Linked DNA regions of Oryzias latipes. The protein of the gene in region 2 purifies or fractionates together with the protein of the main gene of each other region. This does not show direct contact. Links are inferred from orthologs where the notes say so. Each region holds a gene or a part of one and is shown on either strand. Other genes may lie near its edges. The genes, in order: bag6, usp13 and smc3.

Region 1 (3,650 bases), on a different chromosome or scaffold from region 2:
AGCTGCTCGGCGGAGGTGATGGGTCGCACGCCGGCGGTCCTGGCGGCTTGGTTCACCGCGTCTGAGAGGGAGAGGAGGCTGCCGCTGCCCTGCCCCGTCTGCAAACACACAAACAAATTTTTATTAAAAACACTGAAGACCGTACAAAGAAAATGAAAGAGTTTGCCGTTTCTGGGTTTGATCGCCATGATTCCCACTGTGCCGTGTTTAGCCGTCTTTCTGCAAATTATGCAGTTTGCTTCATCACTAATCATATTTTACTTTTTATTTTATAAGCCTTATTTTTGTATAAAAAAACCAAACTTTTAGGACTTGTGCTTTTGATGAAAACGAAAATACAGAAACAAAGTGAGGTCTACCTTTCGGCGCTTGGCTGGCATGCCGTTCAGGTAGGCGTCGGACAGCGGAGGCTGAGCCTTCATCTTCCTCTGCGTCATCATGTCACACCTGATGATGGGCACCCACTCCTGCAACGCAGCCCAACAGAGTTCAGGTTGAATCCAGCATCTCTTTTCTAATTGCAGCTTCTATAGCCCTTGTACTGTCTTGTGGGGTCCAGATGACCCCACTCCCAACGCACGTTGGAGCTCATCAACCTCAGCGAGTTTTTTTTTTTTGGCGTTTGCTTCACCAACTTCCGATCATCTTCTCCAGATTCTGGTCCCAGGCTCCTCGTGTGGAAACTGTGGAGCAACACTGCCCCCTACTGCCCACTTGATGCCAAACAGGTTGTTACTGAGGGTTACCCGGGTGACAGCAGCAACAACACCCCCTCCCTCTCTGGTGCTTTCAAAGACCAGAGGAGAACTAACTTCAGAAAAGTCAAAGAGTTCAGAGGGACGCTCTTACAGGGGGAACAGAAGCAGCCCACGTCTCCGACTCTCCTGACGCCTCCTCGCTGCCTCCCTCCGCCCCCGCCATGTCCCCGCCTAACGGCGCAGCTCCGCCCAGCGTTCCCAGGTCTCCAGGCAACGGCCTCGTCTCCCGCGCTGCCATGTCGTGGGACCCGGACATGGCCTCCTCTGCTGTGGTGGCGGCGGCCGGTGAATGAGTGTCCCCGATCTGAGGAGGCAGAAAGGTAAGGGGGGGGGGTCCCGGTCCATCTGAACACACTGTGGCGAGACTCACCGCTGCTCCTTCAGGCTCCTGCGTGTCGCTCGCAGCCGACTGATCTCTCTGGGGAAGAAGAAATGCATTATTTACGCAGAAACACGACACCCGGCCGCCGTGAGAGTGGCGCCGTGGCGGTGGCAGCGACCTGCAGGGGGACGATGAAGCTCTGGATCTGCTCCTGTGAGATGGGGTTGTGCTCCAGAATGACCTGCAGCCTCATGGACATCATGCTGGTCATCCAGTTCACCAGGCTGGGACTGATGTCGGTGGACATGCGCCGCTGGAACAAAGCAGAAGAGCCGTCAGCAAACAGACGAGGTCACAGCAGGATCAGCTTAACGGGAATGAAACAGTTTTTAAAAAACACAAACTCAAAAGTGCACATTATAAACTTGAAAGAAATAAAAGACCATTTGGAATTAAAAAAATATATATATACTTTTTTTTTGAAGAAATGCTGAAAACTTGGATTGAAATAAACCAAAAATTTGTCTTATTTATTTGTAACAAATGTGTTTTTTTATTTTCAATTTTTGTTTTTTATCTCTTTTTCCACAAACATACAATATTTCTGTAAGGTTTACAGTATTTACTTTTAAGTTTCAAACTAGTTTTAATTTTTTTTTTCAATTAACATTCTAGTTTTTTATTCAATTTATATCTGAACCAGAGCTTTAAAGACCCACTCTAAAGAAAAGTGTTTCTAATCGTGTTTTTTTCCTGATGATGGATGAGGTACATTAAGAACAAAAAAGCTCCAAATTGCATTTCTGAGCATCTTTTTATATGATTCGCTGTGAATCAGGAGCAGACCAAAAAAAAAGCACTTTGAAGAAGAGCTCATTTGCTACATAGAAAATACTGAGGCTGGGCTAAAAGCTCTGACCAACAGTCCCCAAACTCAGAAGTCGTGCTGCTCTGCAGAAACTCAGCCTTTGAAGACAATGCTGTTTTTTGATTATGGCTAAAAACAGTGGCGTTTAACCTGATGATCACTGGGCTGGTGATATCTGTGTTGACACATATTTATTCATTTCCTAAACCTTAAACCATAAGGTTACACAGATGGTGACATCAGTGTAACAGAAATGCATCAGAAATGTGTCACATGATCCACTTGGACTGTGACAAAGTCCAATAATAAAAAATGGGTCGGCGTTCTTGCAGGTTAAACTACCTGATGCCACTTTAAAACATCAGACTTGTGCGTTGAACTCTCACACCAGCAGAAGGAAACTCACAATCCGGTGGTTGATGACGGCGGTCAGAGCCCTCTGGTCTCCTCTCAGGCAGTGCAGGTTCAGAGCGAGACACTCGAAGAGCGCGCGGTTGCACATCCTCAGCAGCGTGGGTCCAAAAGTCTCATCTAAAAACAGAGAGGTGGCATTAGATCCACCATCAGCCGTTTCCTCACATTCACGCCAACGTTTTGTTTCTAATCTGTGACGCTGCTCACCTGTGCAGTGAAGGATGTGTGTGGCGATGGTGGTCAGGTGATGTCTGAAGAAGGCCATGTTGGTCTGGGTGACGTCCACTTCGTCCAGCACAGCAACTGAAGACTCTCTCTGTTCAAAGAAAGCTGCTGTTCTGAACAACCAGGAAAACTGTTTGTTCACCTGAAGAAAAAGCTCCAGTTCTCACCGTGTTTTCAGTCAGTTTTAACCATTCTGGTACAAAAATGTTGAGCTCTTAAAAGTTCTAGCTTATATTTTGGCAAATTTGGATGTTTTCTTTAAACATATTCAATATTTCTGTTAGTTAAAATGAAAAGGCTACAAATCCTTCAGACATGGTGAAGGTTGGTTTGGGTCTAAAATCTGCCAAAAATTTTACTCTGTTCAAAATAATTACAGCAAATGTTCCATTATTTTTTAAAGATTTGTGTTTTTCTCTCTTTAGATTAAACGATTTATAAATAGTTACTGTAGAAAACTTCATGTTTTTTTATGTGCCAATTCTTTCCCTGGCAGGTAAAATCCAGTTTATGGGAGAAAAAAATCTTCCATCTTTAACTTGACCTGCCGAAATTTATTATTTTTAGCTTTAAATTGTTTTTCAGTAGTCAGAATTTTGACAAAAACATTTTTTAAGCTTTTATCTGAAATAGTTTAAAAAAAAATCCTCTCTGGCTCCTCCTGCTGTTAGAATGTCGCCCCCTTGTGTCACAGTCAGTGAATTTCAGGAACGACCTCCAAGTCAGGAGGATGACAAATATGATCAAATGTGTTTTTTGACTCTGGATTCTCGTCTCTATACGTTTGTAAATAGAATTATTTCATCTGAGGCTTTAGATATTTCAATAAGGTGGAGTTTGGCACTAATAATGGTTTATGGTGACAGTCAGGATTCATCAAAGGTGAATTTTTGTCGTATGTGGGTTTAAACAAAGTCGTAACCTGTAGATTCAGACGTTTGCCATGAACACAAATTTGCAGAAAAAGCTTAAAGTTCAGCCTCCAGAGTGTAAATGAGAAAGCTGCTTAGTGGATGTAAAGTGATGACTTACGAAGCTCTCAGTGATGTACTCCTCCAGTTCA
Region 2 (3,650 bases):
AGTTACCAGAGCTGCAGGTTGTTATGCAGCCATGCTGGACACATGTGCGCCATGCCGACTTTTAAAGCTGTTTAGGTCTCTACAGCGAGGATGAGAGTCTGCTAACAAACTCAGCATGAAGCGGAGGAGCAGCACGCCGGCTTTATGAAAATATCCCAAACTCTTGCCATGTACTAATTTTTTAAATTGGCAAAAGTTTCTTCAAGGCTGAAACAAAAAATGGGCACAAGTCAATTGCCAAAAAAATAAATAAAAAAAACTCAACTTCAGATAATCCTATTGGCACAAAAACTCTCACTCTACATGGAAAACACTATGACTGCAAAGACTCGATGAAGATGATTTATTTTCTGCTCTCACCCAGAGAACAACATGTTCTGCAAATGGCTAAGTGGTGGCTCCTATTCTTTGTGTGAGTAATGTCTCACAGATCCTTTTATCTGCACCCAGTTTAAGGAACTGATTAAGTCAGCTCCACATTATGTAATTTTAGGTAATTCATTTCAAAGAAAGGGAAAAGAAGTTGAAAAAGACAAATCACATTACATGTCTTGTTAAACGTGACTTAGTACTTTAATCTGAAAGGATGAGAGGAAGTCAAAGCCTGGAAAAAATGTGTTACTTATTTAAAGTGTGGAATAAGACAATAGTATAGCATTAAAAACAAAACCAATGAGGTGATACAAGTGAACACATTTAAGGGTCTGATGCCTTTGGGTTGATGCCAGATGGGGGAGAACGGACCAATGGGTGATTTGCAACCACGGGAAAAAAGATGCAAAACAATTAAACCTGAGAATGAGATAGAAAAACTACAAATCATTTACCTCCAAGCGCTTTCATTACACAGTTTTATTTGAACAAATAGAGAGACTTTAACCTCATATTAATTGAAACAGAAGCAGCGGATTTGCAATTGAAATTCACCTACAGTGTGACTGAATATAAAATTTAAAAAAACATTTTGACAAGTGTTATTGAATTGAATTTCACTGCAATAATTATTTATGTTTATGTATCGATATGCAGAACAGCTTTGGCCCCACAGTAATGTGTAACCATTGAATGTATTAAGCTACACACCGGGCATGCAACGCATGTTAAAGAACGTATTAAATTGGGGTTCTCGAACACATGTTTAGCTTATGGTGTTCACACTGGACAAGCAGGTAGGGGCATCTTCATTTGCTACAGCGCATGTCTGCCACCTACAGTTGGAAAAGGCTCGGTGAGAAAAGTTGAAGCTGTGCAAAATCTCCGGAATTTTACTTCTGTCTTTTTCTGTTACAGCTCTATTCTGATATCCGAAAGATGTATAATTCCAGGCAAAAACCGCAATTATCAATTTGTCTTCTATGATCAATTTTTAAAAACGGTTAGCACTTCCATGTATTAAAAGAGACGCCATCCACGAGCCACAATCAAATCAGTGTCTTTGATTGTTTAGAGTTCAACTTGGTTTTACTTGCAACACGTGCTTGATGGCACCGCGTTTGGTACACAGAGCCTAAAAACAGTCGTTCAAGAAAAACACATTAGGATTAGCAAAAACATGTTTAAAAAAGGTGGCAGATAAAAATGGTTATTTTGACAAATATAATGCTGTTTTTTCTCAACAGAAGTCTATTTTGGCTTCTTGGAGTCAGGGAGTACTTCCTGTTTGGAAGTCACTCAGGCCAGTTGTCCTAAACAGTCAATGTGTGCAACCCAATAACTTTAAGTGGCTGCTCCACTTAAAATGGCATTCTATGGGTTTGCATTTCTAAGATAGCACACATGACGCATGCTGTTCAGTCCTGAATCAGACACACACTTTCACTAGTTCTTTGTTGTTGCCTTAACTATTTAAAAGCAGAGATTGCCGCCCTGTGGGGCAGAAGTAAAGGCTCTTCTGAGATGTTGTCATCAATATGAAATATTTGGATGACTAAATGTAGCAACAAAGGAAACTGAAGGTTTTTACAATAAGGGACTAAAAAATAAAGGGCATTTAATCTCAAAAAGATTACAAAACAAATGCACCCCATGACAAAGTTTTAAGAACTGTGTTAGTGTTTCTCTATTCTCCAAAACGAGACATTCGTATTAAAGACACTTTCACTGATGAATTGACTCTCAGAAATATTTCACACCTGATGAGAAAAATCTGCAGCAATTTCAACTAAACATGTGCATTTCCTTTTTTCAAAAAGATCTTTGGAGGGACGTATTCTAGAAAACCAAAGCACTGGCGCTCAGGGGAAATGTTGCCCTTTTACCATGACAACAAAACGGAACAATGAATAATGGAGAGATTAAATAAGTAAATAGGAGCCCAGCTTTACATTAGTTCATGTTCAAACATTGTCACTAACAGCACTGAAGGGCCACTGCCAGTCATTCATGGGAGAATAGGAGATTTAAAAAAATAGCCCATGTGGAGCATTAAGCAAAAGAAAGGAGAAAAAGTTTAAAAAATTAGCCTCTGGTGTATTAAAAGTGTCATAAAAGATTAGGAAAACATGGTAAATGAGGGCATTTAATGTGTAGCAGGCACCTCTGGTGTCTTCAGGCAGAACTATGGGAGGCATGAGGTCCGGCAGCTCCTCCTCGTCTGCCTGCAGCCCCGTGGCTCGGAGCCGGCTCAGATCCAAGAAATCTGGAACATCGATGGTTAAATCTGCACAGAGGTAAATAAATATTGTGTGAAACAAAAACCCCTCAAGAAATACTTAATAAGTTATTCTTTTTTTTTCATTTTTTTTTTTTAACTTGTTCTGTCCAACAGCTAGGCAGGCAGATGAGAGCTGAGGGCCTCTTGTGTTGGACATATTTTACTTTAACAAGAGGGGTTATTAATCTTCAGACAAACCAAAGGTGTGACTGAATAAACCCCTTTTGTAATTGAGGCCAAACTTTCTTAATCATTTGTGCGCTTTTGAACAAATCGTCCTACTATGTATGGCGTGACCGTTACCATTGACAGTAATTTTCCGGCATTTGATTTTATTACTACAGTCTAGTAGTGACCTCTGCTGGGTGTTTTCAGTACTACACACACTTCAAAGAGCCTTCAAAGAACCACACAAAATGTATGTATATATATATATATCCCACAGGAATTCCACAGGCAAATGGCAACCTGGAGCAGGCAACAAGGAAAGCTGCAACAGCTAAATACCTCCAACGGGTAAGGCAAGTCCTGAGAAGCCAGCTCAATGGCAAAAATAAGACCCGGGCAATAAACAGCTACGCACTGCCAGTTATCAGATACCCTGCAGGAATAATAAGATGGCCAAAGGAAGAGGTACAGACCACGGATGTTAAGACACGAAAGCTCCTCACCATGCATGGAGGGTTCCATCCCAAATCCAGCACCCTGAGACTGTATGCTAGCCGCAAGGAAGGAGGCCAAGGACTAGTGAGCGTAGAAGCCACTATCCAGGATGAAACATCCAAGATGCATGAGTACATCAAGCTCAAGGCCCCAACTGACAGTGTGCTCAGTGAATGTCTCAGGCAATGGAGAGCAGAGGATACAGTGCTGGAGGACAGATCCTCATGGGAGGACAAACCCCTGCATGGGATGTACCACCGGACCATAACTGAAGTGGCTGATATCAAGAAGTCCTACCAATGGCTAGAGAGGGCTGGCCTACAGGACAGCACTG
Region 3 (4,249 bases), on a different chromosome or scaffold from region 2:
GAAACTAAAAGGCCATCTACCCTAATATGGCAGAGAGTTCCTGAAAGGGTTGGTGAGCAGGAAACGTCATGGGGGAGTATTTTGGATTGAAGAACTGTGAAGTTGCTATTACATCTTTCTCACCTTTCCCTGTTTGACGATGTAGTATGGGTTACTGCGAGAGAAACCGGCGCTTTCCAGAAGGTTCATGACGTCGTTCTTACTGCAACAACAGCATGTGGAAGACGTTTAATCCTACATTTGTCATTCTCTGTGATAACAGGGACAGAAGCAGTCACAGCTCAGCAAGAACTCACGTCACCATCTTCTTGTCCAAGAAATATTGGTCCTTCTTTGCACCAATGACACGACGAAGAGAGACTTCCTCTTTGTCAATCTGAAAGGACAAAATTCTCACTTGGTCTGTGATCAACAAAGCTATAATTCAGCTTTAATGTTTGTGAATCCCTTTCATGTTAGGAGCAGTACAACAATATGTAAGTGGCAGAACCGATTCTGAAAGTTGTTCCACTAAAAAATGAAAGATCAGCGATGATCATCATTAACAAGATATAAAGACAAATAAATAAGACCATTAAGGGGCCACAGGTGGAGGCAGGTTGCCAGTATTTTAAAGTTTCTATATATTGTTCTAATAAGTAATCTGAGTAATAACGAGAGCTTCTTAAAGACCCACTGCGATGAAAATGGTGTTTTTAGAATGTTCTTGTGGTATATTTCTGATGACGGGGACATTCATAAAGAAAATTAGGACTAAAACTGCATTTCTGAGTCTTTTATTCTCATCGTTGTGAATCCGGGGAGCAGACGAAGAAATGCAGTTGTAAAAGGATTGTATTTGTGACGTAGAAAATACGCTGGGCGGGGCCACAAACTCCCTGCTCTGAGCAATGGGGAAGGTAGGGAAGGGGGGGTGCTCCACCCAAACAGTCCCACCCACAATTTAGAGGTGAATTTCTAATGAACTCCTGCCGCTCTGCAGAAACTATGACGTACAAAACAACAGAGGTTTTTTGCCTAAAGAATGCATCATCATAATAAAAAGACCACGAGAACGCTTTGAAAACAGATCAGATGATGATCAGAGTGGGACTTTACAGACGTAACAGGCCTGTGAGCTGTTAAATAATGCAAACCTGGAAAAGCAAAGTTACTTCCCAAAGTACTGAGGTTAACTTTAGTTATTGATCAAATACTTATTTTCTGCTCCATTGTACAAATAAAATCTGTAAAAATTAAACAATGTGGTTTCCTGGATTATTTATTCTGTCTCACACAGTTAAACTGCGTCTATGACGAATGATACAGATCCAAAGTCTATTTTTATGTGGGACAGCTTGCAGAATCTGTGACTGACAAATACTTTGGTGCTGCTTTTAAATATTTCTATGGTTACTCACTGCAGGTGTCACAAACACTAAAATACATCAATCATATATTTGGATCAACAGGTAACATTCTACTTTCTTTAGGTCTGTATGTCTACATTTAGAAAAAATGTTGGTGACTGAAGGCAGACCTGCACCAAACTCTGAACAGCCCATAAAAACAAATCTTTTTTTTCTTTGAAAACCAGCTTTTAAAGCAAAAACTGATCGACTGGAATGTTAAAAGTTCCAAAGTTTAAAAATACAAAATGTAAACGAAATAGAACGGATGAAAAGGCTTTCCTACCGGCAGCCGGTTATCAGAGTTGTCAAAAATAATTTCCACAAAAGCTGATATGACGCGTGGACCAGTTCCTTCCTGCAACGGGGAGAACGGCCATGAGAGAGAAAACAAACAAAGCAAGAATGACTCCATTAACATGCAAAAAAAAAGGTTGGTCAGAAATCATCTGGTGGTAAAATTCGACATCATACTTACATGCAGAAGGGCCAGACGCTGTTCAGGCCGCAGATGACTGAATTCATCACTGAGGACGAACTGGATGGCTAGGGCGGGGGGCAAAAAGGTTTGGATTTAGCTACAATGGAAAGATTTAAACTAACTAAACTTTGTAAATGAAGCCCACATACCATAGAAAAAGTTACTTTTTCCAGACCCATTTCTTCCAACTGAAAATCAAACAGAGAGAGAGAGAGAACCATGTTTTAGAGAAAGACAAATATACTCACATGGGAAAATCATGTGTTCCAAAACTCATCATGATGAAGCACAGACTCACCGATGACGTTGTGCTTTGGGCTGAATGGATCAACAACAGTTTGGTCCCGGTAACTTCGGAACCCCTGAATGATGACCTGCACCAGACCACAGCAGTTACCACCCACATATGCCGTAGTATGTATGATACATGCCGTCAAAAGGCCTCGGCTAGCCGGGATCGGCTAGCGATGGATTCATCGGCTAATGCTAAATCTATCATTTAAAACTTGTGAGCTATTCCAGACAGAGGGCGAGTTTATGTACGGTATGAGGGGAACAATATGCATTAAAAACGTGGGCGCAATGTTATTTTGTTCGGCTTAATTCACGCATGGATTCAATTCCGCGCTAACAAAAATTAGCATTAGCTTAGCTTCGGCAAGGGGGGCGTCCAGTCCTATTTAAATACTAAAAGTTCCGTCTGAGTGCATTTAATGGGCTTGCTTGATTAAGAAAATAAATATCTACATTATTAAAGACTACAGACCGGGAGTATAAAGATGTTTTGTGTTCCCTGCGCCTTGTTGCCAGACCAGGGAAAGTAAGCAGCAGCACTGCAGAGACAAAAACCCAGTGGATGACTTACCTGTTTGATATACATGGCTGCCTAAACACGGCGTCTCCTTGGAAAAACGCTGGAGATTAAACTCCTCTCCACCAAACCCAAGATTCCGGTAATCTTACTAATCAAATGTTACAAGATAAACGTTTGTATTCAACTAAAATGAAACGAATTCACCAAAACAGAACAACATGGAAAATGGCGGCGGGGGCGGGATGGAAAGGCCTGTTCCATTATGTCAAAATAGGGTTGTGGTAAAGATGTTAGGCTGAATTCGAGGACCTGGACAAACCCGAGCAGTAGCATGAATGTCTATATAATTTTTTTCTTTGAAATATGTACATTTTTTTTTCTGTGTGAACTGTTAAACGTGTGAAACGTGTAAATCTTTTTCCCGTCACAGTTGGTACATTCTGCCTCTGACGTTCTGGGCGCCAAAGCGCAGCTTCGCGCTGACGCTTCCTCCTGATTCAAGCATAACTACCGTAGACGATGTCCGTTCAGCCGGTAACTGTCAACTATTGAAGCCAGTTCCTCACATTAAGAAAACATGTGATTACAAGAGTAAAATACTTTTATTTTTAAAATGACCCGTTTGAACAAATTGGCCTAAAAGTTTATCTTGGTCTTTGGATGAAGATATAGAAGAGCCATGTCACAAACGTACAGTCACAGTAACTAAATACTATCAACATTCATGAGAATTTATGCACAATACTGTAGAGCAAAGGAAAATATTTTGCTATCTCATTACTATCCTTAGCTTGGGCTGTTTGGTTTTGTACAACGTGGCAAACAAAGTTACAAAACTCTTGGTTTACATGGTTTCTGTAACATAAACACACAAAAAACATGAAGGCCTACACAAACACACACACACACACAGGCCTATTATTGAGAGGGAGAAAAATCTCTCCTCTATATTAGGGATACAAAGATTCACAATTTGGTTCAAACGTTAATTTTTTGGTCATGGTTTTGTTTCGGTTCAATAGTTGTATATTAAAAAACAACAACGAAAGATTCTGGAAGAAAAACTGTTTTAAAAATTTCTAATAAGAAAGTAACAATAAAAAAGTCCAGTTGGCCATTACTAAGCAGTACTGTAAATGTACATTTACATGTAATCTACAATTAACAGAACATGTGATGCACTGACTCCATGTTTTCTTGTTGTCAAAGTTCAGTGGGTATAAAGGAGTAGGCTTTAATAAGCTTTCTGCTTTTCCAACATTTTATTTTGCTTGAGTTCTGTTAGAAAAAACCTCTTGAGTGACTGACTACAGTTATCAGCGAGTGTATGAATGTATCTATTGTTGTTTTTATAACATGTTTGAAATACATAAACTAAAATCTCTCCCCATGATTCAGGATGCGGTTCAGTATGTGTTGTTGTTGTTCACTCTTCTGCATGTCCCTTCAGGGGTCGCCACAGCCAATCAGCTTTCAGGGAGTCTCACAGGTGGTTTGGCAGAGATTGTTACACCGGATGCCCTTCCTGACACAACCCTGTACTTTGTCCGGGCTGGGGACAGGCAC

Evidence for each region.
Region 1: the proteins of usp13 (region 2) and bag6 purify together in Homo sapiens (affinity purification with western blotting; 3 studies listed by BioGRID and IntAct, with this or other methods). This does not show direct contact. The link is inferred for Oryzias latipes from reciprocal best matches to the Homo sapiens genes USP13 and BAG6.
Region 3: the proteins of usp13 (region 2) and smc3 purify together in Homo sapiens (affinity purification with mass spectrometry; 4 studies listed by BioGRID and IntAct, with this or other methods). This does not show direct contact. The link is inferred for Oryzias latipes from reciprocal best matches to the Homo sapiens genes USP13 and SMC3.

Annotation. Positions count from the first base shown.
Region 1 is NC_019874.2:28,127,735-28,131,384, reverse strand, and holds part of bag6 (large proline-rich protein BAG6), read right to left. Parts: coding exon 3,620-3,650; intron 2,679-3,619; coding exon 2,570-2,678; intron 2,480-2,569; coding exon 2,355-2,479; intron 1,394-2,354; coding exon 1,259-1,393; intron 1,177-1,258; coding exon 1,129-1,176; intron 1,063-1,128; coding exon 850-1,062; intron 468-849; coding exon 360-467; intron 99-359; coding exon 1-98. UniProt on the Homo sapiens protein: ATP-independent molecular chaperone preventing the aggregation of misfolded and hydrophobic patches-containing proteins.
Region 2 is NC_019862.2:9,004,999-9,008,648, forward strand, and holds part of usp13 (ubiquitin carboxyl-terminal hydrolase 13), read right to left. Parts: intron 2,660-3,650; coding exon 2,537-2,659; intron 1-2,536. UniProt on the Homo sapiens protein: Deubiquitinase that mediates deubiquitination of target proteins such as BECN1, MITF, SKP2 and USP10 and is involved in various processes such as autophagy, endoplasmic reticulum-associated degradation (ERAD), cell cycle progression or DNA damage response.
Region 3 is NC_019859.2:36,679,596-36,683,844, reverse strand, and holds the start of smc3 (structural maintenance of chromosomes protein 3), read right to left. Parts: upstream 2,930-4,249; 5' UTR 2,750-2,929; coding exon 2,735-2,749; intron 2,244-2,734; coding exon 2,168-2,243; intron 2,058-2,167; coding exon 2,019-2,057; intron 1,935-2,018; coding exon 1,867-1,934; intron 1,747-1,866; coding exon 1,675-1,746; intron 377-1,674; coding exon 297-376; intron 203-296; coding exon 124-202; intron 1-123. UniProt on the Homo sapiens protein: Central component of cohesin, a complex required for chromosome cohesion during the cell cycle. The cohesin complex may form a large proteinaceous ring within which sister chromatids can be trapped.